3 linked regions of the Callithrix jacchus genome follow. Each later gene encodes a partner of the first gene's protein in a complex. Links are inferred from orthologs where the notes say so. Each region holds a gene or a part of one and is shown in the gene's direction. Other genes may lie near its edges. The genes, in order: QRSL1, GATC and GATB.

Region 1 (9,956 bases):
ATAAAATGAGGGCTGGTGTTGACCAATGGGTTTAGGAATGTGGAGCTTGCTGGTGATCTTGACATGCAGTTTTAAGAAGCAAGAAGGCAAAAGCAAGAACAGACTGTGTTAAAGAGATGGTAAGTACCCATCACCAGAACACTGAGCCCTTAAGAGTTCTCCTGTACCTTCAGCATTTATCAAGGCAATTTTTTTTTTTTAAAAGACAGTTCTGTCCTGTCACACCTGTAATCCTGGCACTTTGGGAGGCTGAGGCAGGTTGGTCACGACGTCATGAGTTCGAGATCAGCCTGGCTAACATGGTGAAATTCCATCTCTACTACAAATACAAAAAAATTAGCCAGGCATGGTGGTGGTAGTCTTAGCTACCCAGGAGGCTGAGGCGGGAGAATCGCTTGAACCCAGGAGGTGGAGGTTGTAGTGAGGTGAGATCATGCCTCTGTTCTCCAGCCTGGGTGACAGAGCTAGACTCCGTCTCAAAAAAAAAAAAAAAAAAGTTATTTTCCTAAGTGAACCTTTAGTGCTCTCTGTTAATTAAAATGTCTTTACTTCATGGCAGAGAAATGAATGCCAAAATGTCTTGCATAGAGAATAATTATACAAGTTGAACATCTCTAATCTGGAAATCTAAAATGCTCTAAAATCCAAAACTTTTTGAGCACCAACATGATTTTCAAAGGGCATGTTCAAAGGAAATGCCCCAGGAGCATTTTGGACTTGAGACTTTTGGGTTAGGGATGCTCAACTAGAAAGTATATAGTGCACATAGAGTATTCCAAAACTTGAAAATATCTGAAATCTGAAACACTTCTTGTCCCAAGCATGTTGGATAAGGGACACTCACCCTGAAGTATAGTAAATAGTTCAGAGCATGGTTTTAGAAACAAGATCAGTTCTTGGTTGAATCCCAGCTCTGCTACTTTTTAGCTATGTGACCTAGGTAGGAACTTCAGTTTTTTATCTGTAAATGGAGATAATTATAGTTTCTCAGTGTGGATGTAAAGATTAAATGATATACTAAGCACCAAGGACAATGCCTAGAACTAAGTACTTACTATTATTAACATTAATTTTGTTACAGGGACAAAATTACTAATTATATGTATTTACAATTTTCCTTTCCCTTGCTTTCTAAGAAGAGTGGTTCCTGAGCAAGGTTTAAAAATTTTTTTGAGGAGGTATACTGGTTGTTTATTGCTGCATAAACAAAGTACTATAAACTTTGTGGCTTAAAATAACATAATCCAGGATCTTCCATTTTTCTGGGTCAGAAGCCTAGGCATGGAGTAGCTGGGTTCTGTACTCAGGGTCTCACAAGGCTGAAATCAAGGTTCTGCAGTTGTACTACAAGGTACTGCTAGGCCTAGAGTTCCATCTGGATCTCCAGTCCTCTCGACCTCATTGGTTTTTGGTAGAGTTCATTTCCTGCAGTTGTGGAACTAGGGTCCCATTTTCTTGGTGGCTGTGGATGTTACTAATGACATATGTAGTCTGGGGAATGACCAGGAGAGTTGGAAACAGGTGAAGTGAAGGGAAAGTTTGTGCGGAGTGAGGTGAAAGAAGTGAAAAGTCAGGTGCTGGTGTGCATGGACTTGAAGTTTGATGTGAACAAGGGAGAGGATAGGAGCAATAGTAACAAAGACGACAGTGAGCTTGGTGCCAAAATTGTCAGTGAATTTAAAGTAGTACCAGAGAGGCTAATAGGTCAGCACATCAGGGAGCATGGTGTCATCTCCCAAGGCATGTGCTTCAGAGAAGCTGAGATGTTTGAGAGAAGAGGGAAGAGAAGCACTGAGGAACAAGGAGATCATCTGTCTCCTCTCCCACTCTGGACTCTGTGGTACCTGGTAGGTAAGCACTAAACAGGAGAAGCAGTGGCTGCCAGGGAAAGCCTAGTTTCCATTAGAGAAAAGATGTGCCAGAGAGAGAATTTGTTTTCTTTTAACAAAAACTTGAAAGTTAACTTCGTTTTATATTTAGATATAACACCTGCAGTTTTGTCCTGGGAAACTATATGTGATTTATATTTCCTGCTTCTTATGCTCAGTCCATCTAGCTGATTAGCATCTTTGTTTTCACTTCTGTTTTCCAATTCCCTTATTGATTTTTTTTTCAAATCTATAGTTCCTAAAAATGGTCTTAATGAAAATCAGCACCATTTAAAGTGAATACTCCTAGACAGTCTTATTTCTTACCCTTCAACCACAATTGTAATCCCAGCTCTTAGCTTTTATCCTCACACCAGTTTGGAAGCAGCTTGAGGATCGTAGACATTAGGGGACTTGAGAGGAGTCAAGAAAGGAGAGAAAGTGGCAGATGGAATTTTCCTCATTATTACAACTTAGCCATGGGTGGGCCTGCCTATATATCTGTCTGTATATATTGTCTGTCTAGCTCTGGGTTTTTGCTAGTTCTAACTGTCTTCCACCCAGCCTATCACCATCTTTGTTCCATATACACGATATTAAAACACACGGCTTTTATTCCTTGTAGCTTCTTTCTTCTGAAGGGTTTACATTTCTTATAGACCATTTGACGAACTCTCTTTTGTTGTTACTATAGAAGTCACCTCCTTAAGTCAAACCTCGCTGCCCTCCCCATCCTTGCACAGTCAGTAGCCTCCCCATGGAAGTCCTTTTCCTCTTGTCTGTAAGCATTAGGGATCCTCTTCGTGGCCTCTTCCCACTGCTTGTTGCATTTAAAACCCTCAACCCTAAGAATGCCATTGCTTTGATGATTTACTCAATAGCTGAGAGCAGATCATTTGCAGATTTTCCCCTCAAATGCAAACTTCTCTTGTTTAGTGTGTATAGGACATGTGAAAAAACTGTCAACTTGGAGGACAAACTAAGCTTCCAAGAGAATAGAGACAGAAGTGGTAAAGACTGTATATTATGAAGTCACCCTGTCCTTTACCATTTGAGTGACTTTGGACAAATCACTCAAGGTCTCTGAGCTTCAGTTTCTTCATCTGTCAATTAGATAAACAATACCTAACTGTGTGGTTGCTTTAAGGGTTAATTGAAGTAATAATGCATGTAAAGCAACAGTGTCTGGCTCTTGGAAAATACTTGGTAAATATTATTCCTTTCTCTATTCTCCTTTTCTCTCAACTCCCATCTAATCTAATTATCTTTTCATAAAATCTCCAAAGCTTTGGTGTCATCTTTTACTTCTTGTTATTCATCCCTTTTATCTGATTAGTAACTACATTTATTATTACTTCCTACAGAAAATATTAGACAGTCATGACTTAATCTCAGGCCCTACTTCCTGTCAGTATACACTGATACTCACTACTTCCCAGTCACTTTTGGTGCAGTTCTTTACCAGCCTTCCTAACATCTTCCCTAAAGATAGAATTTCAGAGAAGTTTTCCAGTTTACCTTTGAACCGGTATAAGCAGTTCTCTCAATTTATAGTGTCTCTTACTTGAACTCCACAGTAGGTATAAAGATCTTATTTAGAGAGCCACAAAAATCCTGCAATGCCTTGTCCAGTTCACTTCTCTTTTTTCCCTCTCTGGACTGCCTGTGTTGCAGCTAAGCTACCCTCTCTACAGAATCTGCCCTCAGCCATCCTTCACCCATGCTGGGCCTCATCTCCCCTGGACAGAATGGTTTGCATAACTTACTGCTGTCGTTTGTACAGCCTGACTTTGAAACTGAAGTTAGCTAAGGAGAAGAATGTCATGTCCTTCACCTGTCCTCAAGCTGATCAGTGCATCACCCTTCATCCACTACACTAAGTGTTGAGGTAATAGGTTCTCTTGATTTTGAACCCAAGCCTCACTTCAAAATGTAATACTTAGCCACTCCATCACCCCCACCACCGCCAATATAACATTTGAAACTTCTGCCAACTCAGTAAAAGGTTTTTGAATTGTGTGTATAGGTTTCTGCGGCACTGAAACAAGGCCAAATTACACCAACAGAGCTCTGTCAAAAATGTCTTTCTCTTATCAAGAAGACCAAGTTTCTGAATGCCTACATTACTGTATCAGAAGAGGTGGCCTTAAAACAAGCTGAAGAATCAGAAAAGAGATATAAGAATGGTAAATTGCTTTTAATTATACTTCATTGTTATATCACCAGAGAAGTTTAATTGGTTGTAGCAGTCTCCCTTTGGCAAGTGAAGCTTTTAACATAAAACATATCCTTATTTAAAGAACTTGCCATGAGGATAATAAAAATGGGGTAATGGATATGTGATGCTTTATAATGTCCAACTCTATTAATTTCTGACATAAATTTGGTTTCTGAAGAATTATCTATGCCAAAAACTAGTAGTTACTTTAATAACATGTATTCGTGTACCTTTATGTTGTAAACTATCTCCTTTATCACTCATTTGGCTTTTTAATGCAGGACAGTCTCTTGGGGATTTAGATGGAATTCCTATTGCAGTAAAAGACAACTTTAGTACATCTGGCATTGAGACAACATGTGCATCAAATATGCTGAAAGGTAAAATTTAACTGATCAGAGCGTTGATAATTTTGTAAAAATAAGTATTTTTCACTTTAAGGATAACAAAGTACCAAGATAATCTCAGACTAATTGTATCTTTGAAGGAAATACTTAGAATATAATATCACCTTTTTCACTATTTGCTTTTTTAGAATGCAGAATTTTTTCTTAGCGTTAGGCCAGCTTAATGAACGCTACTTCAGAAGTTTTCAAAAATTCTATTAATATTTGGGAAGACTCAGTTCAAAAACTAATTACCAGCTGGGTGCGTACCTGTAGTTCCAGCTACTTAAGAGGCTGAGGTAGGAGAATCACTTGAGTTCATGAGTTTGAGTCCAGCCTGGGCAATATAATGAGACCCCCATCTCTAAAAAAACAAACAAAAAACACAAAAAACTGATCACCATGAACACACTTTATAACCTCTAACTTGAGCTCATTGATAACATGGGAATGAGTGTGAACTGGCTATCATTGACACCCCTCTCTTGTGGATGATGTGAGGATTCATCAACATCTACTGACCAGTTATTTTTTGTTTTCTAATTCCTCTATTTTTTGTAACACAATATGGCAATGCTAGATTTATTCTTTAGAGTTTGGTCAAAAGGAATCGGGTTTATCAAGATATTTGGATCCTTGGAAGGAAGAGAAATAGAAAAAGATTATTCAGAGTACTATATGCTAAAAGTAATATTCTATAAGGAATATGCCCCACCTTCCTCTAATATTCAGACTGTTGTTAATTATTTTGGAATATATAATAGGGCTTTTCAATAGTTAGAGGAAATTTTAGTTGAAAATAAAGATCTATTTCTAACTGGAAATACATAAAAATTACTGTGTGGTATCACATCATCTGAGAAGAAAAAGTCAAGTACAATGAGCAAAATAGACATTTCCTATTACTTTCATAAATACTAAGTACATCTCTGACTATCATGTAATATTTTGTAGAGCTGTTAAAGTCAGTGTTTTTAGGTAATAAAAATAGTTGGCCAGGCACAGTGGCCCATGCTTGTAATCCCAGCACTTTGGGAGGCCGAGGCAGGTGGATCACCTGAGGTCAGGAGTTCAAGCCTGGCCAACATGGTGAAACCCTGTCTCTACAAAAATATAAAAAGTAGTTGGGCATGACAGCAGGTGCCTTTAATCCCAGCTCTTCGGGAGACTGAGATGGGAGAATTGCTTGATCCCAGAAGGCAGAGATTGCAGTGAGCTGAGAAAAAAAAAGTGAAGATTTAGATTATCTTTGGAAAACATACATTTAAGCAGTAGGAAAAAAATTACTAGAAGAAAGTACAACCAATTATTTAAATATGAATAATTAATACATATGACTGAATTGCTTAATTACAGTTTGGACTGTTCTTTTTTTTTTTTTTTTTTTTGAGGTGGAATCTTGCTCTGTTGCCCAGGCTGGAGTGCAGTGGCGTGATCTCAGCTTACTGCAACCTCTGCCTACCAGGTTCAAGTGATTCTCCTGTCTCAGCCTCCCAAGTAGCTGAAGTTACAGGCACGCACCACCACGCCTGGCTTATTTTTAGTAAAGGTAGGGTTTCACCACATTGCCCAGGCTGCTCTTGAACTCCTGACCTCAGGTGATCCGCCCATCTCAGCCTCCCAAGTGCTGGGATTACAGGCATGAGCCACCACACCCTGCCAACTCTTGTTTCTAACATATGCTTGTTTCTTACGTATGATTTGCATGTTCACTGTTGTGTTTCCTATTAAAAAAAAACCAAAACAACCGGCCTTTTGGCGGGAATCACCATCTTCCAGTAATTCACCAAAATGACAAACACAAAGGGAAGGAGGAGAGGCACCCGATATGTATTCTCTGGGCTTTTTAGAAAACTGGGAGTTGTTTGCCACGTACATGCGAACCTGTAAGAAAGGTGATGTTGGCCAGGCGCAGTGGCTCACGCCTGTAATCCCAGCACTTTGGGAGGCCAAGGTGAGCATGCCGATCTTGAGGTCAAGAGATCAAGACCATCCTGGCCAACATGATGAAACCCTATCTCTACTAAAAATACAAAAATCAGCTGGGCGTGGTGACACGCAGGAGAATCAGTTGAACCCAGGAGGTAGTAGAGGTTGCAGTGATCCAAGATTGTGACACCACTCCAGCCTGGGTGACACAGCGAGACTCCATCTCAAAAAAAAAAGAAAGGTGATATTGTAGTCATCAAGGGAATGGGTACTGTTCAAAAAGAAATGCCCCACAAGTGTTACCATGGCAAAACTGGAGGAGTCTACAGTTACCCAGCATGTTGTTGGCATTGTTGTGAACATACAAGGGCAAGATTCTTGCCAAGAGAATTAATGTGCATATTGAGCACATTAAGTACTATAGGAGCCGAGATTGCTTCCTGAAATTCAAGGAAGCCAAAGAGAAAGTTACCTGGATTCAACTGAAGTGCCAGCCTGCTCCACCCAGCGAAGTGCACTATGTGAGAACCAATGGGAAGGTGCCTGAGCTGCTGAAGCCTATTCCCTGTGAATTCATGACATAACAGGTATAAACAAATAAAAGATCTCTGGACTGTAAAAAAAAAAACTAAATTTTTTTCAGGTTATGTACCACCTTATAATGCTACAGTAGTTCAGAAGTTGTTGGATCAGGGAGCTCTACTAATGGGAAAAACAAATTTAGATGAATTTGCTATGGGGTAAGTAAAATTGAAGTCTTCTCTTGAATTTCTTCTATCTGTGCCTTTATTTTCACTGAATGTAGTTTCCTGAAAGGATTGAGGATCTAATACCAGTTTCTTAGTCCCTCTGTGAGATTATGTTCAGTTTAATAGATATATAGTCATCTCTAATTTTGTTTTTAGTTTGTATTTCCCTGATGACTAATGATGTTAAACATCTTTCCATGTGTTTATTTTGCCATCCTTGTATCTTCATCAGTGAAGCAGCTGTTCACATTCTTTGCCCATTTTTTGAAATTGGGCCATCTTCTTCTTATTGCATTGTCAGAACTCTTTCATATATTTTAGACTCAAATCCATTATCAGACAGGTGCTGATTGGCAAATGTTTTCTTCAAGTCTCTGGGTTATCTTTTCATTCTCTGAAAATGCCTTTCAAAAAGTTCTTAATTTTGATAAACTCCAGTTTATTGATTTTCTTTTTCTTTCTTTCTTTCTTTTTGAGACAGAGTTTCACTCTTGTCATCCAGGCTGGAGTGCAATGGTGCATCTCAGCTCACTGCAATCTCCGCTTCCTGGGTTCAAGCGATTCTCCTGACTCAGCCCACCAAGTAGCTGGAACTACAGACACGCCATGCCTGGCTAATTTTTTTGTATTTTTAGTAGTGTTGGGGTTTCACCATTTTGGCCAGGCTGGTCTCGAACTCCTAACCTCAAGTGATCCACCTGCCTTGGCCTCCCAAAGGGCTGGGATTACAGGTGTGAGCCACCCATACCTGGCCTTCTTTTCTCCCCTTACCTCCCCGCTCCTCTATTTTCTTTTCTTTTTTCTTTTTTTCTTTTCATAGAGATATGGTCTCACTGTGTTGCTCAGGCTGATCTCAAACTCCTAAACCCAAACTGTCCTCCCAGCTTGGTCTAACAAAGTGTTGAGAAGCAAAAGCAACCTGAGTCTGGCCCATTTTTTTCCTTTATTTTTTAGAGATGGGGTTTCACTATGTTACCCAGGCTGGTCTTGAACTCCTGGGCTCAAGTGATTCTCTGACCTCATCCTTCCCAGTAGCTGGGACTGCAAGCACACATCACCTCACCTGGCTTAATTTTTTTCTTTTATGATTCTTTACCTAACCAAAGGTCACAAAGACTTTTCCCCTACAAGTTTTATATTTTAGCTCTTACATTTAGACCTGTGATTCATTTTGAATTAGACTTTCATATGTTGTATGAATAAAGTCCATTTATTAAACATACAGATACCCATTAATTCCAGCACTAATGATAAAAAAGATTATCCTTTCCTCATTGAATGATCTTAGATTTTTTTGTCAAAAATCAAGCACATTCACATGGTTCTGTTTCTGGACTCTGTTGGACCTCTGTTTATTCCAAGCCTTGAAATTATATAGTAAGAGTCTTCTTTGTTCTTTTTCAAAATCGTTTTACATAATCTAGATCCGTTGTATTTTGATATGTTTTAGAATAACCTTGCTAATTTCTAAAAAGAAGTTTAATGGGATTTTGATTGTAATTGTGTTGAATTTATAGATCAACTTGAAGAACTGGCATTATAATACATGTCTTCAAATCCATGAATACCTAAATTTGTCTATTGAGTGAGATTTTGTTTTTCTCAGGAATGTTTTTATGATGTTCTGCATACAAATTATATACATAATTTGATTTACTCCCATTTTATGTTTCTTAATGCTATCGAAAATGATATTTTTTTTAGTTTCTAATTGTTTATTTCTAGTACATTGAAACATAGTTGATTTTTCTATATTGACTTTTTATCCCACAACCTTGTTAAAGCTCGCTTATTAGTTCTAGTTGGTCTTTGTGTATTCTATGGAATATTTTATGTAGCAGATTATGTAGCCTGCAAATAGAGTTAGTCTTATTTCTTCTTATTTCTTTTACTTGCCTTATTGGCACCAGTTAGGGCCTTAGGTGCAATGCTGAATAGAAGTAGTAAAAGCAGATTTCCTTGCCTTGATTCTGATCTTGGGGAAAAGCATTCAGTCTTTCACCAAAAATACTTTATACTTACCCTTTTATGACACTCATCTCATTTGTAATATTTGCTTGGTCTTTGTTCCCTGTTTCATAGAAACAAGAGTCCTTGACTGTGTAGTTCAGAGTGGTATCTCTTGGAATTCATTAAATGTATGTTGAATGAACTAATCCATGGGAGTAAATTTGAACAAAGGCTCTTAGCACATTACCTTCATCAGCTCATCAAAATTAACATCACCAGTGAGGGTGAAGTGGATGGTGTGCCTCCAGATGTAATTGTCTAAAGATACGATATCACCTATGTAATATTCCAGCTGAGAATGTATAACCTGACTCTAATAACAGAGAAACAAAAGATTAATCCAAAATGAGAACCATTCTATTAAAATATCATATGAAAACAAAAAGGGGCTGTGAAAATCTTCCAGGATGAGAGATAAAGAAGGCAAAACCTAACATCATAAAACTTAAGAAAATTTAGAGTAGGTGGGGCCTGGTGGCCCACACCTATAATCTCAGCATTATAGGTGTAGGAAACTGAGGCAACAGGATTGCTTGAGCCCATGAGTCCTAGACCAGCCTGGGCAACATAGTGAGACCATTCTCTACAGAAAAAAACAACTTAAAAAAAAAACAGCGAAAAATCTTTGTGCCCTTGAGTTAGTCAAAGGTTTTAGATAGGACACATGAAGCACAAATCCACTTTAAAAATTAATAGATTAGATTCATTAAGAACTTCTGTACTTTGAAATATGCTAAGAAAATGAAAATGCAAGCCACAGACTGAGAAAAATATTTGCAAAACATATATCTGAGAA
Region 2 (10,572 bases), on another chromosome or scaffold:
TGAAATGACATCTAAAGACAAGTCATATTAAATATGCTGTAGCAATTGGTAAAGTGGAGAAAAGAGAATAGAATTAGGGCCTTCTATAAATCAAGTTTATTTTTCAGACGGTCTTGCTCTGTCACCCAAGCTGGAGTGCTGTGGTGCAATCACTGCAGTCTCCACCTCCCAGGCTCAGGTATTCTCCCATCTCAGCCTTTCAAACAGCTGGGACTGCAGGCACACACCACCATACCCGGCTCATTTTTTTGTGGAGCCCAGGCTCGTCTCAAATTCCTGAGCTCAAGTGATCCACCCACCTCAGTGTCCCAAAGTGTTAAGATTACAGGTATGAGCCACCATACCTGGCCTGTAATTCAACCTTCATACTATTTTTGGGTATATAATAAAATTAAATTATACAATTGTGGGGATTATGTGACGTTCTAAAGTCCACAGTTCTCTTCTGAGCCTGACTTTTTTGGTACCATAATATATTTGTGTAGCCCATTGTGGCAATAAATTTTAGAAACAGTGAGGTTTGGCTGGCTCAATCCCACATGGGATTACATGTGGTGGCTCATGCCTGTAATCCCAGCATTTTGGGAGGCTGAGGCAGGCAGATCACCTGAGGTCAGGAGATCAAGACCAGCCAGGCCTACATGGTGAAACCCTGTCTCTTCTAAGAATAGAAAAATTAGCCAAGCATTGTAATCCCAGCTACTCAGGAGGCTGAGGCAGGAGAATCATTTGGACCCAGGAGGTGGAGGTTGCAGTAAGCTGAGATGGCGCCACTGCACTCCAGCCTGGGTGACAGAGTGAGACTGTCTCAAAAACAATCAGTGAGGTTTCTCATGGCCACACTGTACCACCTAGCTTAGACAAGTCACTTTTTCTTCACCTTTAAGTTAACAAAACACAAAACTCCCAGTGTATATATGAATATGAGGTTTGTAGGATAACAGGGTAATGGTTCCATAAAATGCACTGAGTTCCAGAGGCAAATAATTGATAGAAAATGTTGCAATTTATTCCATCTTCATGATTACAGACATTATAGAGCAGGATGAGTAAACAAGGCAAATAAAGCAAGCACCTTCAGCTTCCCCCCCATTTACAGATGCAGCATTTTGACATTTTTAGGATACGCAGTTGACAATTTACTGACTTGGGATGATAGCTGGCAACAGCAGATCTTTGCAATTTACGTCCTTCCTCCACAGCTATTCCAAGTATCTTAATTCCTGAACTAAGAATTAAGGGGGCACTGAGAGCTCTGCAGTGGTGTTCACTGCAACATTCTTGTAGTTTACACATCTTAATCTGACACCTCTTGTGAAGGCAGGGAACTGTGTTAAAAGTTGTCTTCCTCTTTGCTAATCCAGGCCAACATCAATCTTAACCACTGGTTACCATATAAAAATAAAAGTGTGCTCAAAAGCACTTCCTGAAACTTGTGCCCAGATCCCTTTTCAGAGCATTAGTTCCCTGAGAGAAAAAAGACACCCTAACCAATTGCTTTCATGAACAATGACCCCAGTACAGTGTATATAATGTCCTTTGCAGCAGAAATCAAGAGGTCAGGCACCTCTGCTCATTCTAACTAGTTTATCATTATTTGCATACAAGGTATATTTATGTAAAGTTGATTCCAGACCAAGTATTGCAACCATAATTCCAGAAAATTGTTCAATTTTAGCACACTGAGTTCCTGCAAGATGCCTGAGCAGGTGAAAAATAATCTCAAAGAGTTCATCATCTTTTACAATTGAGAGGAAAACATCGAAGGAGGAAATAAAACTCCTCTCGCCGCAGTTCCTCATCAAACCTGATGGCTATCTTCACAGATTCAGTTGACAAAAATCCAGAGTTCTCAATTTCTGGACTTCATGGTGACTATCAAGGTCAAGAAGAATTTTCAGGCTTTTCTTTGCCATGGCCCATGAATTCCAGTCCTTCAATGGGAATCTCTTTCTCCTTTATTGCTTTCTGGTAAGAGGTGAAAACACATTTTGAAGACTATATGAAGCTTGAGTTGCAAGCTTTGTAAATAAAATATGATAGCACGAAAGTCAAGTCAAGCTGACTATCAAGACTCATAACCATGATTCAAACTACATACTTTTTAAATAACAAGTAGTGGTCGGGCGTGGTGGCTCACACCTGTAGTTGCAACATTTTGGGAGACAGAGGCAGGTGACCCCTTGAGGCCAGAAGTTAGAGACCAGCCTGGCCAACATGGCGAAACCCCATCTCTACTAAAAATTACAAAAAATTAGCTGGGCACGGTGGCGCGTGCCTGTAATCCCAGCACTTTGGGAGGCCGAGGCGGGTGGATCACGAGGTCAACAGATCGAGACCATCCTGGTCAACATGGTGAAACCCCGTCTCTACTAAAAATTACAAAAAATTAGCTGGGCACGGTGGCGCGTGCCTGTAATCCCAGCTACTCAGGAGGCTGAGGCAGGAGAATTGCCTGAACCCAGGAGGCGGAGGTTGCGGTGAGCCGAGACTGCGCCATTGCACTCCAGCCTGGGTAACAAAAGCGAAACTCCGTCTCAAAAAAAAAAAAAAAATTAGCTCGGCATGGTGGCGCATTCCTGTAATCCCAGCTACTCAGGTGGCTGAGGCAAGAGAATAGCTTGCACCCAGGAGGCAGAGGTTGCAGTGAATTGAGATCACGCCACTACACTCCAGCATGGGCAACAGACCAAAACTCTGCCTCAAAAATAAATAAATAAAAAACAGAAGTACCATAATGAATAAATCAAGCGTTAAGACCTGAGGGAGACTGGAAAAGGAGCTGTGAGAGAACTGTTAAAGTTAAGTGAAATTTGAAAAAAAAAATCACTTTGTGTTACTGAAAGACTAGGTTCAAATCTGGGTTCCAGGACTTACTGGCTATGTGACCTTGAGCCACCCTCACTTCCCTCAACTGTAAATGGGATAAAGACAGCAACTACCCCGGGGGATTGCCGTGAGGATGTATTAGGTTAACTTATTGAAAGTGCTTTGCCCAGTGCTGTTCTTACAGTTCAAAGCAGTTCCACATCCATTAGGCTAGAATGACCATTTCCTATCTGCAGTTGGGGGGACTGGTAGAGATAAACAAGCTACCGAAGGGTTAAAACAATGTGATCCTCCAGTCTGAAGTATAACCCCGCTGAGACCCCAGCAGTAATATTAGAAACGTGCACCACCTGCGAAAGAATCAAGGAAACCTGATTCTAGTGAACCGGGACCAATCACTTCCTACTTCTGTGTGTTAGTTCTCTATCTATAAAATATGAGTATGCCCACCTTGCAAGTTTAGGATGAACACCAAATGAACACAGTCACAAAAGATGTGACTGTGCCTTTTATTTATTTATTTTTTGAGACGGAGTTTCGCTCTTGTGGCCCAGGCTGGAGTGCAATGGCGCGACTTCGGCTCACTGCAACCTCCTCCCGAGTAGCTGGGATTACAGGCATGTCACCATGCCCGGCTCATTTTTTATTTTTAGTAAAGACGAGGTTTCTCCATGTTGGTCAGGCGGGTCTCGAACTCCCGACCTCAGGAGATCCGCCCACCTTGGCCTCCCAAAGTGCTGGGATTACAGGTGTGGGCCACCGCGCCCGGCCGACTGTGCGTCTTAAAAAGAAAAGCACTGCACCAATATTTGTCATTCGGAGAGACACCCAAGTGGCCTCGGTGGTGATGGTAGGGGATAGGGTTCCTCCCACTGGTCTCAATGCAGCTTTTCTCCACCCTCCCAGTCCCAAGCCCCGTAAAATACGATGAGTGTGGCGGAGACAGCGCGAAGAACGCGGGGCCTGGGAACTGAGGCGCGAGGGCTCACCTGAACACACTGCTGGTAGCGCTTGAAGAGATCGGTGCACGGGTCCCCGGAGCTGTCCCCCTTGAGAAACTTCTCGGCGAACCAGCGATTGAAGCACTGATCGTACTCGCGCTTCATGTCGGTACATGCCTCCCCCACACTGTTCATGGCGATAGTGGTGACGGCGGCGACGGCGGCGCACTCTGATGTCATCACTCAGTCGCGCCGCTCGGCGTTACGCACGGACGCACTACCGGGGCCAAGGAAGGAAGAAATGTTGGCGCGGGCGTTGTGGCTGGGCCTTCGGGTCCCGCTGGGCGGGCCCCGGGGCTTCACCTCCAAGACAGATCCTCAGGTAAAGGCCAGGGCCATCTAGGCGGGTGGCGAAGCAAAACGGGAAGCGCTCCGGATCGTCGGTGACTCACATTCACCGGGTCCCGCCGGTGACCCACATTCCCCGCCTCATTCCTCTTCCAGGGCAGTGGCCGAATCACGGCCGAGGTGATCGAGCACCTGGAGCGTCTAGCCCTTGTGGACTTCGGCAGCCGGGAGGCAGTAGCGCGGCTGGAAAAAGCCATCGCCTTCGCCGACCGGCTACGCGCGGTGGATACCGATGGGGTGGAGCCCATGGAGTCGGTCCTGGAGGACAGGTAAACTTGCGGCTGCAGCCTCGCAGCCTTGACTGGGGCCAGTTCGCAGCCGTTTATTTTTATTTATTTATTTATTTTTGAGAAGGAGATTCGCTCTGTTGCCCAGGCTGGAGTGCAATGGCGCGATCTTGGCACACTGCAGTCTCTGCCTCCAGGATTCAAGCGATTCTCCTGTCAGCCTTCCGAGTTGCTGGGATTATAGGTGTGCACCATCTCCCGACTAATTTTGTATTTTTAGTAGAGACAGGGTTTCTCCATATTGGTCAGGCTGGTCTCGAACTCCCGACCTCAGGTGAGCCACCCGCCTCGGCCTCCCAAAGCGTTGGCATTACAGGCGTGAGCCACCGCGCCTGGCTCGCAGCTGTTTAATGTGGCAGTTAGCGAACCATTTTCCAGGGGGTGAAAGACCGTTGGCGAGATTCAGGAACTTGCCCGTCACCCCGCGAGTCAATGGCTTTCCTCTTCCCCGTGTTCATTATGGATGCTCTCGCTCGTGCCCTCCTAGCTAAGCAGAAACAAAACCCCATTGCCGTTGAGGCCCTACTCTATGCAGAGTCCCTGCCTACTCAAAGGTACTGCTCTTCTCAGTACCCTCCTTGGCTTCCTTGACTGCTTCTCCAGAAAGACAAGTTCTTTCCCTCTCTAGATCTTTGCACTGGCCTTTGGTTTTTTTCCTGCCTCTCGGTATTTGCATGGCTGTCTCCCTCTTGGCACAGGTTTCAGCTTATCTTCTCGGAAAGGACTCTCCTAACCACTCCAAATCCATTCTCTCCTTGTAGTCAGCAACTCTTATCCTGTTGAGTTTTTTCCTGACGTTTTAGTGGACTTTTGTTCATTTCTTGCCTCTTTTATTACAATGTGAACTCGTTATCTTATTTAGTTACTGTTGTATTCCTGCCTTGAATTTTTTTTTTTTTATTGTTTTTGAAACAGAGTCTCACTCTGTCACCCAGGTTAGAGTACAGTAGCATGATCTCATTGCAACCTCTGCCTCCCAGGCTCAAGAGATCCTCCCACCTCAGTCTCCCAAGTATAGGACCATAGTCATATACCACCAGGCCCAGCTAATTTTTTGGTTTTGGTAGAGACAGGATTTTGCCATGTCGTCCAGGCTTGTCTTGACTCCTGAGCAAAGGCGACCCACCCACCTAGGCCTCCTAAAGTGCAGGCATTTACAAGCATGAGTCACAGCGCCCGGCCCAGTGTTTGATTCTTTCAAATATTTTCTCCACTTTGCAATTTTCTTTTTTCTTTGGGACAGGGTCTCACTGTATTGCCCAGGCTGGTCTCAAACTTCTGGATTCGACATTCTCTTGTCTCAGCCTCCCAAGTAGCTGGGACTATAGGTGCCCACCACCACACACCTGGCTAATTCTTAAATTTTTGTAGAAATAGGGTCTTGCGGGCCGGGCTTGGTTGCTGACGCCTGTAATCCCAGCACTTTGGGAGGCCGAGGCAGGTGGATCACGAGGTCAAGAGATCGAGACCATCCTGGTCAACAAGGTGAAACCCCGTCTCTACTAAAAATACAAAAATTAGCTGGGCATGGTGGCGCGTGCCTGTAGTCCTAGCTACTCAGCAGGCTGAGGCAGGAGAATTGCTTAAACCCAGGAGGCGGAGGTTGCGGTGAGCTGGAATCGCACCATTGCACTCCAGCCTGGGCAACAACAGCAAAACTCCGTCTCAAAAAAAAAAAAAAAAACAGGGTCTTGCTATGTTACCCAGTCTGGTCTCAAACTCCTGGTCTCAAGCATCCTCCCACCTCAGCCTCCCACTTCCTCCAGAAATTTTTTTTTTTTTTTGAGAGGAGTCCCGCCTGTTGCCCAGGCTGGAGTGCAGTGGCACGATCTCAGTTCACTGCAACCTCTACCCTCCAGGTTCAAGCGATTGTTGTGCCTCAGCCTTCTGAGTAGCTGGGATTACAGGCATCCACCACCATACCCACCTACTTTTTGTATTTTTAGTAGAGACTGGGTTTCACCATGTTCTTTATGAAAACACTAACAGAATCCAGTAAGGTGAAGACAGGTATTTAACCTTTTTTGTTCTTTATTTTTGGCAGTTTTTATAACTTTATTGATGTATTTGATGATCAGCAAGTTAGTTCACATCCACACTGTAGATCTGTGAAAGTGGTAACAAGTACATAGGTAACCAAAGTATAGAGCTTGTTTGGTGAATTTCCATTATTATTATGTTTTCTGGACCACCCACTGCACATGGATACAGTATGGACATTCCTTACTACTTTGGCCAGACAGCTTTTTTGAGTCTGGTATCAATGGACGTATCTGGAGTTTTCCACTTCCGTGGCAAATTTCCCATCTCTTTAAGAGCCTGAGGGGCATGCTGCTTGAAGTCCACTCAGTGGATATGCTTATGAATGTTGATGGTGTCCTCTTGGGTCACCACTTAGTTGATGGCAAAATGGCCATTATTCTTCTCACCATTCTTCTTTGCAGGATCCCAAGTTGCTTAAATGGTTTTAGGTAGTAGCCATCTTAGCTATTAAAAGCTCTGACTTGGCCAGGCATGATGGCTCATGCTTGTAATCCCAGCACTTTAAGAGGCTGAACTGGGCAGATCACTTGAGGTCAGGAGTTTGAGACCAGACCGGCCAACATGGTGAAACCCCATCTCTACTAAAAATACAAAAATTAGCTGGGCATGGTGGCATGTGCCTATAGTCCCAGCTACTCTGAAGGCTGAGGCAGGAGAATCGCTTGAACCCAGGAGGCAGAGGTTGCAGTGAGCCAAGACAGCGCCACTGCACTCCAGCCTGGGCAACAGAGCAAGACATGGTCTCCAAAAAAAGAAAAAAAAGCCCTTACTGGTTAATAGAAATCTCTTTACACACTGATAACATGTCATTTGGTTTGAGCTAAAAACATTAGTGTACTTACATGACAGGGGCTCGGTTTTTACATACAGTCCTAGAAGGTCAATACAAGTTATCTATTTTATAGATGGGAAAAACTGAGGTTCAGAAAGGTTATGTAATATGCCCAGAGTTTCACCACGTTTCCTAGGCTGGTTTCAATAAATGGAGGTAATAAATGGAGGATTTGGAACTCAGAGCTTCTGATCCCAAATACTGCTCTAAGATATGCCAGCTAAAGTCAGTTCCTAGGAACTTTACTTTCTTTCATCTGAAATCCAGAGAATGAGTTGACAGCAATTCTGATTACAACCAAATACTTAAATGTCCCATGTCCCTCAGAGTCTTATTTGAACCAAAAACTTCAAACTCTTGGGCTCAACCCATCCTCCTGCCTCAGCCTCCCAAGTAGCTGGGACTAGAGGTGTGTACCACAATGCCCAGCTAAGGCTTTTGTTTTAGTAAACAGAGGGTCTTGCTGTGTTGCCCAGAGGGTCTCGAACTCCTGGGCTCAAGGGATCCTTCTGCCTCAGCCTCCCAAAGTGTTGAGATTATAGGCATGAGCCATCATGCCTGGCCTGAACCCAGACCTTTTTTTTTCCAAGACAGGGTCTCATTCTGTCACCCAGGCTGCAGTGCAGTGGTACAATCTCAGCTCACTGCAGCCTCCATCTCCTGAACTCCCACCTCAGCCTCCCGAGTAGCTGGGACTATAGGCACATGCAACCACCCCTGGCTAACTTTTTTTATTTTTACGGGAAATGGGGTTTCACCATGTTTCCTAGGCTGGTTTCAAACTCCTGGGCTCAAGCAATCCACCCACTTCAGCCTCCCTAAGTGTTGGGATTATAGATGTGAGCCACCTTGCCTGGCCCAGAACTTTTAACCAAGGGTTACCTCTGAATGGTATAATTATAATTTTTATTCCAGTCTGCATCAAACTAGAAATAAACTAGGAGAAAAGGAAAAGGCTTTTAGATGGAAGTAGAAGGATCCATAAGAATCTATTCCTAGGCTGGGCGCAGTGGCTCGTGCCTATAATCCTAGCACTTCGGGAGGCGGAGGCGGCTGGATCACAAGTCAAGAGATTGAGACCATCCTGGTCAACATAGTGAAACCCCGTCTCTACTAAAAATACAAAAATTAGCTGGGCACGGTGGTGCGAATAGTCCCAGCTACTTGGGAGGCTGAGGCAGAACTGCTTGAACCCAGGAGGTGGAGGCTGCAGTGAGCCAAGATCGCACCATTGCACTCCAGCCTGGGTGACAAGAGCGAAACTCCGTCTCAAAAAAAAAAAAAAAAAGAATTTATTCCTTGCAGCCAGATACCAGGGAAGAGGCTCAAGGAAACAAAAGCACTGGGAGAACTGTCCCATCAGTCAGTCCAAAGCCTGACAGGATCACAAATGGAGCCACTTTATCCTCCCTGATGTCATAGCACTTCCCAATGCCATTGTAGCAGCATTTCCCACAGTTACTTAAGTTATTGTTCATGAGTTTCAGTCGGCAGGGACTTCTAGTTTACAGCTGAAGTCTTTCTCAACTAGGGTTCCTCACTCAAACCAGAACACAAATTTTCAAGTGACTTTTTTTCAGTTCTCCTAAGGACAGTACGTGACAAATGTTAGCCCAAACACATAGGAGAGAAGTTAATTTATCATCAGAATGGGTGTCTTGGGGTATGTGGGCTAACTTACCTTACAGAACACTGAGTGGGAAAGACAGGAAGTGAGGTAGAAGTTTAATCAATCAGCAATTGATCTGAAAAGCTCATCTGGTCCTGTTTGGTGTTTTATACAATTCTGAGGTCCAAGAAAGTGAAGCAACTCATCAAGTGAGGGGTATGCTTGCTGTACCACTGTCAGAGACTACGGGTTCAGTAGCCCATTATTAAGAAAATAAAGCTGGGCATGGTGGTACACACCTATAATCCCAGCTACTTGGGAAGCTGAGGCAAGAGGATTACTTGAGCCCAGAAGTTTGAGACCAGCCTAGGCAACACAGCAAGACCCTGTCTCAAAAAAAAAAAAAAAAGAAAGAAAAGATGACCCCAGAAGACATGGGTCTATTTTAGGAACAACTCCATCATAACCAGTAACTAAATGGAAATATGTGGTAAATAAAGGGGTGAATTTTGTTTTCCTGGAAATTCCACTTACACAGGAAACTTGACTACTTGATGATGAGTAAATAAATTAGCTGCTATTAGATCTACTCTTGGGGAAGCAGTAGCATTCAACCGCCTGTTGGCAGTGGAGAGTCTTCTCAGAATCTTCAGATGCTAGGCAGGTAATGCCTGTTCACAAGTGCAGACTTTGAATGAGTGGTGGGGACTGAGGTATACTGGGGTGCACTAAGGCTTTCTGAAAGGAGCAGGTGCCACTCAGACCCCTCTCTTACTGCTGTGAGTGCAAGCTCAGCATTATCAGATCTTGTTTTTTAGTATCATTTCATCCCAGAAATCCTATGAGGCATCTGACAAACAAGGAAACTGAAATATGGAGAGGATAAAGTAATGATAGCACTGGGATCTGAATTGAGCTCTGACTTGAGAGCCTAACCTCTTAGTCATTTTTTAATACTGTCCAACAGAAAATATAAATTCCAGAAAGTCCAGGGGTTACCTTTGAATGGTATGATTTTTACTTTTGTTCTCCCAAATTTTCTTAATGCGCAGTCCTTGTGTTATTACAAAAAAAAAAATCCAGTGTGACTCTTGTGTGTGTGAGAGACACTATCTCACTCTGCCACCCAGGTTGGAGTGCAGTGGTACAATCTCCGCTCACTACAACTTCTGCTTCCCACGAAGCAGAGAATTGTTCAAGTGATTCTCGTGCCTCAGCGTCCCCAGTAACAGGGATTATAGGTACGCACCACCACGCCTGGCTAACTTTTCTATTTTTAGTAGACAGGGTTTCACCATATTGGATGGTCTCAAACTCCTGATCTCAGGTGATCCACCTGCCTTGGCCTCCCAAAGTGCTTGGATTACATGCGGGAACCACCGCACCTGGCCTTTTTTTTTTTAAAAACAAGAAATTTAATGTCTGAAAAGATCATACTTGTTCAAGGCCACAGTTAAGAACATGCCAGATCCTATAATAGATTTCTAGTATTCGTACCATGAATAAATATTTGTTTAGCTTTGGGCTGGGTGCCACACACACACACACACACACACAAAACTAGTCCTTTTCTAAAAGAATCTTATTTTGACAACTTTGTTCTTAGGTGCAGCCTTAGCCCAG
Region 3 (9,956 bases), on another chromosome or scaffold:
GTGGTTGGGGCTAGGACTACCAAGGGCATTGAAGCCCCTGCCAGGCACTTGGACTTTATCCTGGTAGGACTAGGGAGCAGTAAAAAGGATTTTAAGCAGAGGAATTAGATGAACAGATTTATCCTTCAAAAAAGTCACCCTAGGAGAGGTGTGGAAGGGAGATTAGAGGGCTGGAAATAGAGGTGAGAAGCCTTCTGGCCAGGTGGTAAGTGGCAGAAGTCCTGGTCGGAGCGGGTGGTGTTTAAACAAAGATCTGAATTAAAACTGAAGGCCTGAGGAGGAGGGGAAAAATCAAGGTATGTTAAGAAAGTAGAATGTGTAGAACTTGGTGATTTTTTGAAAGTGTTGGGAGTTGTCATTAAATGATGGTCTCAGAGATCAGGGAATGTTTGTTGGGTTTAGCTAAATAAATGTTAAAACTAGAAGCCTGTTTCTCAAATTGGGTTCGCTGTGTCCCCTTAGAGGTCTCATGCAAACTCTGAGTTGTTTATGGTGCCCTATGAGCTGGATGTATCTTAGGTTTCAAACAAGTTATTATTGCAGCACTACTGAGTCTTACAAGTAAGCCAAAGTCAAAGACCCGCCACCCACCACCCCAGGATCTTTTTCCTGGCCATGATGTGCCTTATCTCTATCTACTAGTCATAAAATTTGTTGGCCATCCACTGTGTATTTGTCTCATCTCCTACCTCTACCCATCACAGCTTTCTCGTCTTCTGATTAAATAAAAGAATTAACCTCGGGGTCCAAAGTGGCTCCCGCCAGAGGTCATGGCGCTCACGAAGGCGAGGTCATCAGTTCAAGGCTAACCTCATAAGCTCAAACTGATTGACAAAAAAAAAAAAAAAAAAAGAATTAGCCTCTTATTTAATAAATCATTGTATGAGTACCTGTGTCTCAGGGTTTCTGAAGTCTGGCAATAGAATATCTTCTGCTAGTTGAGAAAACATGGAGGCTTACCCATCACCAAGTCTTCCACATGCCAGAGACTGCACTGAAAGAACACTGAGTTCTTTCATCTAGTTAAGAAAAAAAACAGTGCTTGCCCTCTGGGAGCTCAACATCTTCTGGAAACAAACCTACAGAGGGAGAAAGTGGCAAGAAGAAACACACTAGAAATAGCATCAGTCTTAAATGATGCACAGTGGAATTTGGGCTGAGGTGCTGCTCTCTAGTTACAGCCTGGTATTAGTAGGTTTGATAACTAAAACTAACATGCTTTTATCTTGTAAGATTTCAGATCGAATATAGTGGTTGAGAGCCTGGGTTCTGGGGTCTGACTTCTGGCTCTGCCACTTCTATGCGTCACCCTGGCCAAACTGCATCATCTCTGTGCTTCCCTTCACATAACATGAGAATCATAATAGTATCTACCCTCGGAATGAGAGGATTCAATGGCATGTGTGTGTGACATGCGGCACACCTCCTGACACAGTGTCAGTGCACATTAAATACTCACCACTGCCCCTTCCTTAAGCTAAAAAGAACCCTCTGAAGGCCCAGCTGAGACAGGTGTGCTGCATGAATACCAAAAGATTGCTGCCTTCTTCCAAACGAGAGCTGCTGTGGCTAACCCTGAGATCCTTTGTAGTCATTTAATTACAAATAAATTCTGGAACATACTTTCTTCAAGACAAGTTAGTCTTTTGAGTTTTTAAGTTAATCTTTGATTGTATCACACACAATCAGTTGTCACTTCAGGGCACTTCCAGAAACAAGTTTGAAGGCCAGCATGTGGCAGGTAACATTTTAGGGGAGATGGGTATGTATCACTGCCGCTCTGAGACTTTCCATCGATCCCCATCCCCTCCCTCCTCCTTTGAGTTCAACACACATTAATTAAGCATCACTATTTTTCAGGTTCTGTATTCAGCTCCAGGGATACAAGGGTGAACAATTTCTATCCTCATGAAACTTGCAATTGTGTGGAAATATATGTGAACAAATTCAATCCATTGTGATAGAAGCACCAATGGGAGTGTGTAGGAAGTCAGAAGAGGTACACAGAAAGGACAACAAGGAAGGTTTCACAGAGGTGGTGACATCTCACCAGGATTTTGAAGGGAATAAGAATGGGGAGACTCAGAAAATCAGCATGATTTGCACAGGAGAACTTGACCAGAGGTGTCAGGGAGTGGGGTGCTCGGTAGGAGATGAAATTGAAGATGTAGGCAAGAGGTTGATCATTTAAGAGCTTGGCCTATGTCGTGGGAACATCAGGGGCCATTGAGGGACTTCAGGTAACAGAATGCCACAGATTTACATTTTTAGCAGGATCAACCTAGTATAAAAGACAAACTTGAAAAGGGTTTGCAGTTGCTGGCAGGTTCATGTCACCATTGCTGATTCATTGAGGGCAGAGATAGGGTCCTATTTGTCTCTGTATCCCTAAAGTTTAGTGCTTTATAGACATTTAAGAATTTTTTTGGAGTGAAGACAGCCCAAGTTGAATTTTCCCATTCTGCATCCTATCCTCAGAACATGCTGACCTGGACCTCCATCTGTCACAAACAGCTTGACTAACATACTAGGACATTCCTTTTTTTCTTGGCATTCTTTTACCTGGCACTCTCTGTTTACTAGCCCCTCTGTACAGCTGTAGTATGTGGTGATTGATGCTTATAATTCTGACCTTGAAGTACTTCATGCCTTCTAAATCATGAAAAAAAGATTAAAGCATATTTAGTATCACTGTAATGTTTGTTGTTTTGCTGCCTCCTTCTTCTTTGGGAAGTGGTGGTTTATGAAGTGCCCATGCACTTGTGTGCACACGGACACAGTGAGAATCTGTGATTACCCCCAACTCTTCACCCACAGGGAGGCTAGATGCATGCTCAGACATAAACAAAATAACCTGCGTTCTCTTCATGCCTAGGGAGGAAGCAGCTTGGCCCCAGCGGCAAAGTGGCTTGAAATGAGAGCAAAAGCAGTGGTTAGGAAAGCAGAGGGAATGATAAAGCAGAACTGGTGTAGACCAGGGAGTCAAGCAGTTTATGAGCCAGGACATTCTGGCCCCAGTAAGAGGAAAGCCCAGGGTCAGGACTCCAGCTTCACGTTCTGTGTGCCTGGACCCAAATCATCAGGGTTGGATTTGGCAGGATTAGCATCTATATTTGTATCTCAGTAAGAATCACTCAGTAAAATGCCAAACATTAGGCAAGTGAAAACATCAATAATTAGAGCTTCCTGTTCCCCACACATCTTTTCTTGAAAACCTTTATTGCTGCAGAGCTGACGTTATTAGGCACAGAATGAAGAACTCCAAATATAAACTGTGAGATGGCTCCACCTTATAACCTGAGACCTGAAAAAGAAGGGTGTGATGTCACTAGGAGGGAGATGTGTTTCGTTTTTCTTTGGGGACTGTATATTGCAGTAAGTAGAAATGCCCCTTACATTTTGTTATACAGATTTCTTTTTAAAACCTGTGTGTTTGGTCAGCACTCATCATCCCAGCCCAAAGAGCCAGTCCCTGAACCACAGAAGTTCTGGTGGGCGCCTCTAGGCCAGCAGGGCATGTGTGGGCTTTACAGGCAGCTTCACCACTTGCCAGTTCTGTGAATTTGGGCGAATGTTTTAGACTCTTTGGATCTTAGTGTTGTTTTTTTTTTAAATCTGAAATATTGGAATAATACAGATTCCTTATTTTACAGGGTTGCTCTGAGGCTGAAATAAAATGCTGAATGTGGAAATGCTCCATTAGAAGGCCTCGTCCATAGAAATAATAGTATATTAAATATACCAAAGAACATCATAAATATCCTCGTAAAACAAAGAAATATATTTCATCTGCAAACACGACATCTTCCAAAATTTTCCCAAAGTAGAGTAAGGAAATGAACTATTTACTCTTTAAAGTAAACTATTTACTATTTAAAGCTATCACTTTATCCATTCTGCAAAGTAGATCTTAAATCTCAATTTTAGACACAAGGAAACGGAGGCTCCTAGTGACAGATGTAGCAGAAGTGGGATTCAGACCTGACTCAAGAACTGAATGCTCTTTCTCCTAGGCTACATTGTCTTTTGTTGTCTGTCTAGTTCCAAACTCCCAGGGTTCTTAAAAGCTGTTCACATCCTTTGGTGCTGGGAGGTATGCTCGCCATTTCTTAGTCATTCACTCCTGTAAGAGGGGCACGGTGGGACCCAGAAGGAACTGGAATGCCAGGCACTCCTGGAGAGTCACCAGCATGATGTGTGGCACAGGCCCTCCTTAGGAGTTCCACATTTAGGGAGTTGGCCTGGCACGGACAGAAAGCCAGGCAACAGCTGTGCCACATTTCCTAGTCCTTGAGAAAATGGCTATAGCCCTGTTGTTTTCAGAAGTTCATTCTTTTTCTGTCAAAGTAAAGCAACCCTTCATCAGAACTTCTCCCAGGAATCAGGGCCTCTTGTGTATTCTGACCGGTCCCTTATTCTGTTTGTAGAGGAAGTAAGATTAGATTTATTCTATGTAGTAAGCACTCTGCTAAGCTTTTCTGGGACTCTTCCTGTTAGCTTTGATGCCAAGCATCGGGGGAAAGGGTCCCCGATGTGGCAGTTCATTCAGTGCCCAGTGGGACCCACTGCTGCATGCATTTTCTTTTTTATATCCTTTCTCTGAGTCTCAGGCAGAGTCAGCTTGTGAACTGGAGCTGCCCACCCAGAGAACCAGAGATAATGCCTGTTGAAGGGCCAAGTTGCATATTCAGCGAGGATGTCAGTGTGTGGGAGAAGCATTTGTTCAGCCTGCGGTCCTGAGAGGAACTGTGTGTTGTGTTTCCATAGGTTCTCAACAGGAGGTGTGTAGAAGCGGCGGTGATGACAGGCCTGGCTCTGAACTGCCACATAAACAAGAAGTCCTTGTTTGACAGGAAGCACTACTTCTATGCAGACCTCCCTGTAAGTACACTTTGCGATCCACCCCACTACAAGTTCTCAGAGCTGAGCCAGCCCTGCTGTGGGGGGTTGGAGCGAGGAAAAGGGACTGTGTCTCTCATGTTTTCAGCCAGCACTTGTGTCCATCCCAGTGGGAAGTTCTGCCCGGTCCTGATGCAGGCAGGTGCCCCCGATGTTTACTAGATTGGATGCAATTGTCTTGATTGCTGACTTCTTGCTTGCCTCATGCTTCTGGTGGCTTGCTCATAATTGCACAGGGAGTAGAAGTCAGTGTTCTCAGGCTCAGCCCGGCTGTGGTATTTGGTGCTAATTGCCTGTTAGTACAAAAGCTAAGCCTCTGGCTGATGCAACAGTAAATGCATACTGTAGCTCTGTCGGAAGAGGGAGAGTGTCTGGCTTTTAAGTTGAAGTTCCCAATAATAGGGCCGTCTCCTTTGGAGACATTTCTGTCATCTCACAAGGAGCAAGTAAGTGGACAATAGTAAGCGGAAACATGAACCAGAATCCTGGACCAAGAACAGTAATTGGCTGAGCAGTAAACGCTGTATTGACCCGCTTTTTTTCCGAAAATTAAAAAGTTTTTTTTTCTTAAAGCCACACCATGTGAATGAGAGCCAATTTTTCATACTATTGAACTGTAACAGAACTGAAATGTTGAGTGGGTTTCCCAAAATCATGTTTCTTTTGATATGATTTGGAAAAACAACAGTAATGATGTTGCTTCACCTCATTCTCCTTAAACTGAAGATTGGGGTAAGCTGTTTTTTAATGGGTGAGGGCATGAGTAGAATTAAATAAAAAATCCAAGTAAGACCTGCATTCTTCAGTGGCTGCTGCTTTTCCCCTCTGGTCTTCAGCCTCTCAGCAAGCCCACTGTTTCACGGGGCAGAAATAATTAAAACTCCATTTCTTCATCTTTTAGGAGTGACAGTTTGGTTGAGGTGGGAGATTTAGTAATAATATGACTAAAATGAGGTGTTTTGGTCATCTGTGGCTTTCTGGTCTTTCTGGCCCAGATAGTTCAGATAATCCAAGTTTCATGAGACCTATTTATCTAATAAAGCATTCCTTGTTTATCTGAAATTCAGATATAACTGGGCGTCCTTTATTTTATCCATCAATGCTAACCAGAGCTTAGTTTTACAAATTGAGATTTCCCGTCTTAGCATAGAAAATGGGTTACCCTTTCACAGAGTTCTCAAAATGTGGTCCCCAGGGCACTAACATCATCATCTCTGGGAACTGGTCAGAAACATAAATTCTCAGGCCCCACCCTCAACCTACTGAATCAGAAACCTTTGAGGTCAGGCCAACCAGTCTGTATTTTGACAAACACAGCAGTATTTCTGATGCTGTTCAAGTTCTTAAACTGCTGGCTGGCCAAGTAGTGAAAGACACAGATCTTGGAGCCTGACCACCTGAATTCAGACGCTGACACTGATGCTCACTAGCTCTGTATGTGGCTTTGGGCAAGGTCCTGATCCCTCCGTGCCTTGTTCCTCTTCTAGGGTTGTTGTGGAATTAACTGAGCGTTACACAGTGAGAGCAGCATCTGGGCCCTAGCAAGTGCTGCCGATGCCTTTGCTCTTATTCTCTGTTCTTCTTCAGTTCCCCTCATTGACCTGCCATCTCTTTAGTGTGTATTGATACATGTGTCCATTTGAAAGTAATTCTTCCTTTCCACTTAGAAGCTGGTGAGGGATCCTTGCAAGATCCGTCAGTGCTTTAGTACTATGTGCTTTCCGTTAACGGAGGGTGAGTGTCACAGCATTTTCTGGCTGGAGGAACTAGGGAAGTTGGGTCAGGGAGGGCAGCTACCATGATTGATTTCTTTAAAAAGCAGAAACCAAACAAGCTTAAACACACACTAGCAACTGCTGTTGGCCCTGTGGAGAATAGATGGCAAAGTGCTTAGCCAGCATTCGGAATAAGGAGGGTCTGCCAGGAGCCCGGTAATGAGATGCAGAGTTTAGGCTAATGAGCTGGATGGAAACAATAAATTCTTTTCTTAGGGGCCCCTGACAATGAGATTATTGTTATTCCCCAATACAGCACATTAGTGAGGGTGATGGGATGAATTCGTGTTGTTTCTTGTGTTTATTGAGGGTGGAGGATTTGGGGAAGGTGAAGGAGTGACGGCAGGAGCAGAAGGGACCAGGCTCAATGATGGCTGCTATGCAGCAACTAATTTTTCTTCTCCTTTTCCTTTTTTTTTCTTGTTACCATTTTTGCTTTAAGTAGGCCTATCTTTGTCTGACATTGTAAAAGGGATAGTAAACTGGATCCTAGCTTTTATGTGTTGACCAGTGACTGTGTGTACCCTATGTTTGTGTGCAGGCAGGCTACCAGATTACCCAGCACAGGCTCCCAATCGCTGTGAATGGGAGCTTGACATATGGCATCTCTGCAGGGAAGGAGTGCGGTCAGGTGATCCCCAAGATGGTGAGGGTCAAGCAGATCCAGTTGGAGCAAGACAGTGGCAAAAGCCTCCACGACGACCTGAGATCTCAGACGCTCATTGATTTGAACAGGGCGGGTAGGCTTGGAGTGTTTTCATTACTTCTCCTTCCCACTTCATTTCTTGGATTGCAGGCCCCTCTTTTTCCCACCAGAGTTTTCCTTAACAAATTGAGAAAGCAGTCACAGGAGCCTGACAGATGGAGACCACAATATCAGCCTTGGGATTGGCATACGTGATTAGTGAGCATGGCTTGAACTGTGATCACTGTTAGGCTTGCTAATAACTCACCCCTGAATTTACACAAATTTAACCACCTAATCGCAGATCCAGCAGTTGGATATTTAAGCGGTCGTTAAAAGGGTTGAAACAGTTAAAAATCAAAAAGTAGGGCCTAGCGGTGGTGGCTTACATTTGTAATGCCAACGACTCAGAAAACTGAGGTCAGAGGATCAACTGACGCAGAGTTTGAGATGAGGCCGGGCAACATAGCGAGACCTAGTCTCCAAAACAAATTAAAAACAGCCAGGTGTGGTGCCATCCACCTGTAGCCTCAGAGGTGGGAGGATCACTTGAACCCAGGAGTTCAGAGCTGCAGTGAGCTGTGATCCTGTCACTGCACTCCAGTCTGGGCAACAGAACGAGATGACACCTCCAAAACAAAAAAAGTGGGAGGGAAGAATGATTCAGAGGCTAGAACCACTTTGAGAGTCCATCAGTAAGGCAGAGTTTTCCTGAAACTTAGGCCTGATTTTTCTGCTGGTGAAATTGGCGAGCTGCAGTGAGGCTGACTCTGCCTATCTTTGGTAGGAGTGGGCCTTCTGGAGGTGGTCCTGGAGCCCGACTTGTCCTGTGGAGAAGAGGCGGCAACAGCTGTCAGGGAGCTGCAGCTGATCCTTCAAGCCCTGGGGACCAGCCAGGCGAACATGGCAGGTAGAAGCCACAGCAGCAGCATTCTTCTTTCCCTCTCCCTTCTTGCCTCCTAGACCTTCTTTGACTTCAGTTTTATTTTTCATCATCAGTTATATTGAAGTTGTTTGCAGCCATTTTTCCCCCAGTCTTTTGTAATCCTGTTTTGGTTTTTCTTTAGAATTCTCCTCGGGTTCTTTACTGAGCTCCAACTCAAATACAAATATACGACCAATAACAGTGTAGAGACACCAAACCGTTAATGAAATAACGGCTTTGAACAGTTCAGTCTTTCTTAGGAAGAAGACACTGTTTCTCAAGAACACTTCTTAGTTTGTGAGTTCCGTATAGATAGCACTTCATTGTCAGTTGCCTCTTTTCCTTTGGGTCTGTTTCTTGTGTTTTGTAGATTTTTCATCCATATACAGCTCAAGCCAAATTATATTGACTATAAGCGAAGATTATGAAAACTTTAACCTGAGATAAAATCTTAATTAAGTTGAGTAAAATATAGGAGGAAACTAAAACAAAAGAAACACTTGCACCCTTGGGACCAAACGGACTACACATTTTAAACATTTGCAAATTGCATATAAAGATCACAGGTTTTGGTCACACTCAATTTCTTCGTGGCTGTAGGTGTCCTTTGCCCTGGCCTGGTACTGCTTTGTTCTTGCGTAAGTCCCTAAAGGGTAGTCTCTGCCATCGTTTTATCCTGTTCTCTGTTCCTTGGGACTTTTTGAAAACTTCTGCCACCCTCAGAGCACTTCTTGATGGAGAGGAGACAAAATACAGGTTCTGAATCTACAATTGCGTTTTTCCGTAGCTCGGTTCAGTGGTCACAGCAGGCGCCCCGGAAATGTTGTTGATGAAGATGTTCATCTCCGTGCTGGTTGATAATACTATTTACCAAGCTTAGCATGTCACATACTGTATTTGCACATTACGGGGGGACTTCTGGATTTGTAATGCCACATTTGTCACATAGGATGTTACAGGCAACAAATTACAACATCCGAGCCTTGGTACATGTTGAATCTGAGGACAGAACTTGCTTATTTGCTTTTATCTTTAAGCTAAAGTCTGCAAAAATACAGCCACATGAGTTTGAGTGGCAGAAAGATTAGCTGCCTACAAATTTCTTTATAGATATGATACTCTCTTTTAGAGTAAGAGAATTTTCAATTTGAGATTTATCGCTCATGCCACTGTTTTTTTTAATCCACAGAACAAAAATGAAATATGGGCAAGTTGGATAGTTATCCATTTACGTTCCAAGTGTTGATTGCTTTAAGAAAGTTTTTATTATCCCATTCTTCTTCAAAATAACTGTGATTCCTACCAACCCTATGAGATCATAAATAGGCCACCTGTTAGCTGAGAAATAGTCCCATCTGGGTCCTTGCCGAGAGATAAACCATAGTGGCAAGAACTCATCAGTCAGTGACAGCTGAGAGTGTTCATTAAATCTCATTTGTTGTGACACTTTTTGTTTCTTTGAAATACAAATCCAACAGCTTTGACCACAGCAGCTGAGTAGCTTTGGTTGTTCTAAAGTTCTGTGGGAGCTGAGGTCTCCTGGAGTCTGCAAGGAGCCAGCTCCTTGGTGCTGTGAGCATTTCGTCGGCCCCGGCCCCCTCTCCTTTGCCCATCCCTCTGTCCCACCCCCCACCCCCTTAGGAACACTGTGTTGGCCTTGGAGCTTGCTGCT

The links.
Region 2: QRSL1 (region 1) and GATC share a complex: the UniProt entries of both Homo sapiens proteins name them as parts of the heterotrimeric GatCAB amidotransferase (AdT) complex. The link is inferred for Callithrix jacchus from reciprocal best matches to the Homo sapiens genes QRSL1 and GATC.
Region 3: QRSL1 (region 1) and GATB share a complex: the UniProt entries of both Homo sapiens proteins name them as parts of the heterotrimeric GatCAB amidotransferase (AdT) complex. The link is inferred for Callithrix jacchus from reciprocal best matches to the Homo sapiens genes QRSL1 and GATB.

What each region holds. Positions count from the first base shown.
Region 1 is NC_133505.1:112,792,860-112,802,815, forward strand, and holds part of QRSL1 (glutamyl-tRNA(Gln) amidotransferase subunit A, mitochondrial), read left to right. Parts: intron 1-3,873; exon of another isoform or gene 3,874-3,894; coding exon 3,895-4,054; intron 4,055-4,367; coding exon 4,368-4,466; intron 4,467-7,044; coding exon 7,045-7,141; intron 7,142-9,956. UniProt on the Homo sapiens protein: Allows the formation of correctly charged Gln-tRNA(Gln) through the transamidation of misacylated Glu-tRNA(Gln) in the mitochondria. The reaction takes place in the presence of glutamine and ATP through an activated gamma-phospho-Glu-tRNA(Gln).
Region 2 is NC_133510.1:123,577,168-123,587,739, forward strand, and holds the start of GATC (glutamyl-tRNA(Gln) amidotransferase subunit C, mitochondrial), read left to right. Parts: upstream 1-4,044; 5' UTR 4,045-4,071; coding exon 4,072-4,152; intron 4,153-4,274; coding exon 4,275-4,447; intron 4,448-10,572. Other genes in the region: TRIAP1 (TP53-regulated inhibitor of apoptosis 1), read right to left, coding at 1,885-1,968, 3,819-3,965. UniProt on the Homo sapiens protein: Allows the formation of correctly charged Gln-tRNA(Gln) through the transamidation of misacylated Glu-tRNA(Gln) in the mitochondria. The reaction takes place in the presence of glutamine and ATP through an activated gamma-phospho-Glu-tRNA(Gln).
Region 3 is NC_133504.1:45,001,927-45,011,882, forward strand, and holds part of GATB (glutamyl-tRNA(Gln) amidotransferase subunit B, mitochondrial), read left to right. Parts: intron 1-4,767; coding exon 4,768-4,881; intron 4,882-7,215; coding exon 7,216-7,414; intron 7,415-8,146; coding exon 8,147-8,269; intron 8,270-9,956. UniProt on the Homo sapiens protein: Allows the formation of correctly charged Gln-tRNA(Gln) through the transamidation of misacylated Glu-tRNA(Gln) in the mitochondria. The reaction takes place in the presence of glutamine and ATP through an activated gamma-phospho-Glu-tRNA(Gln).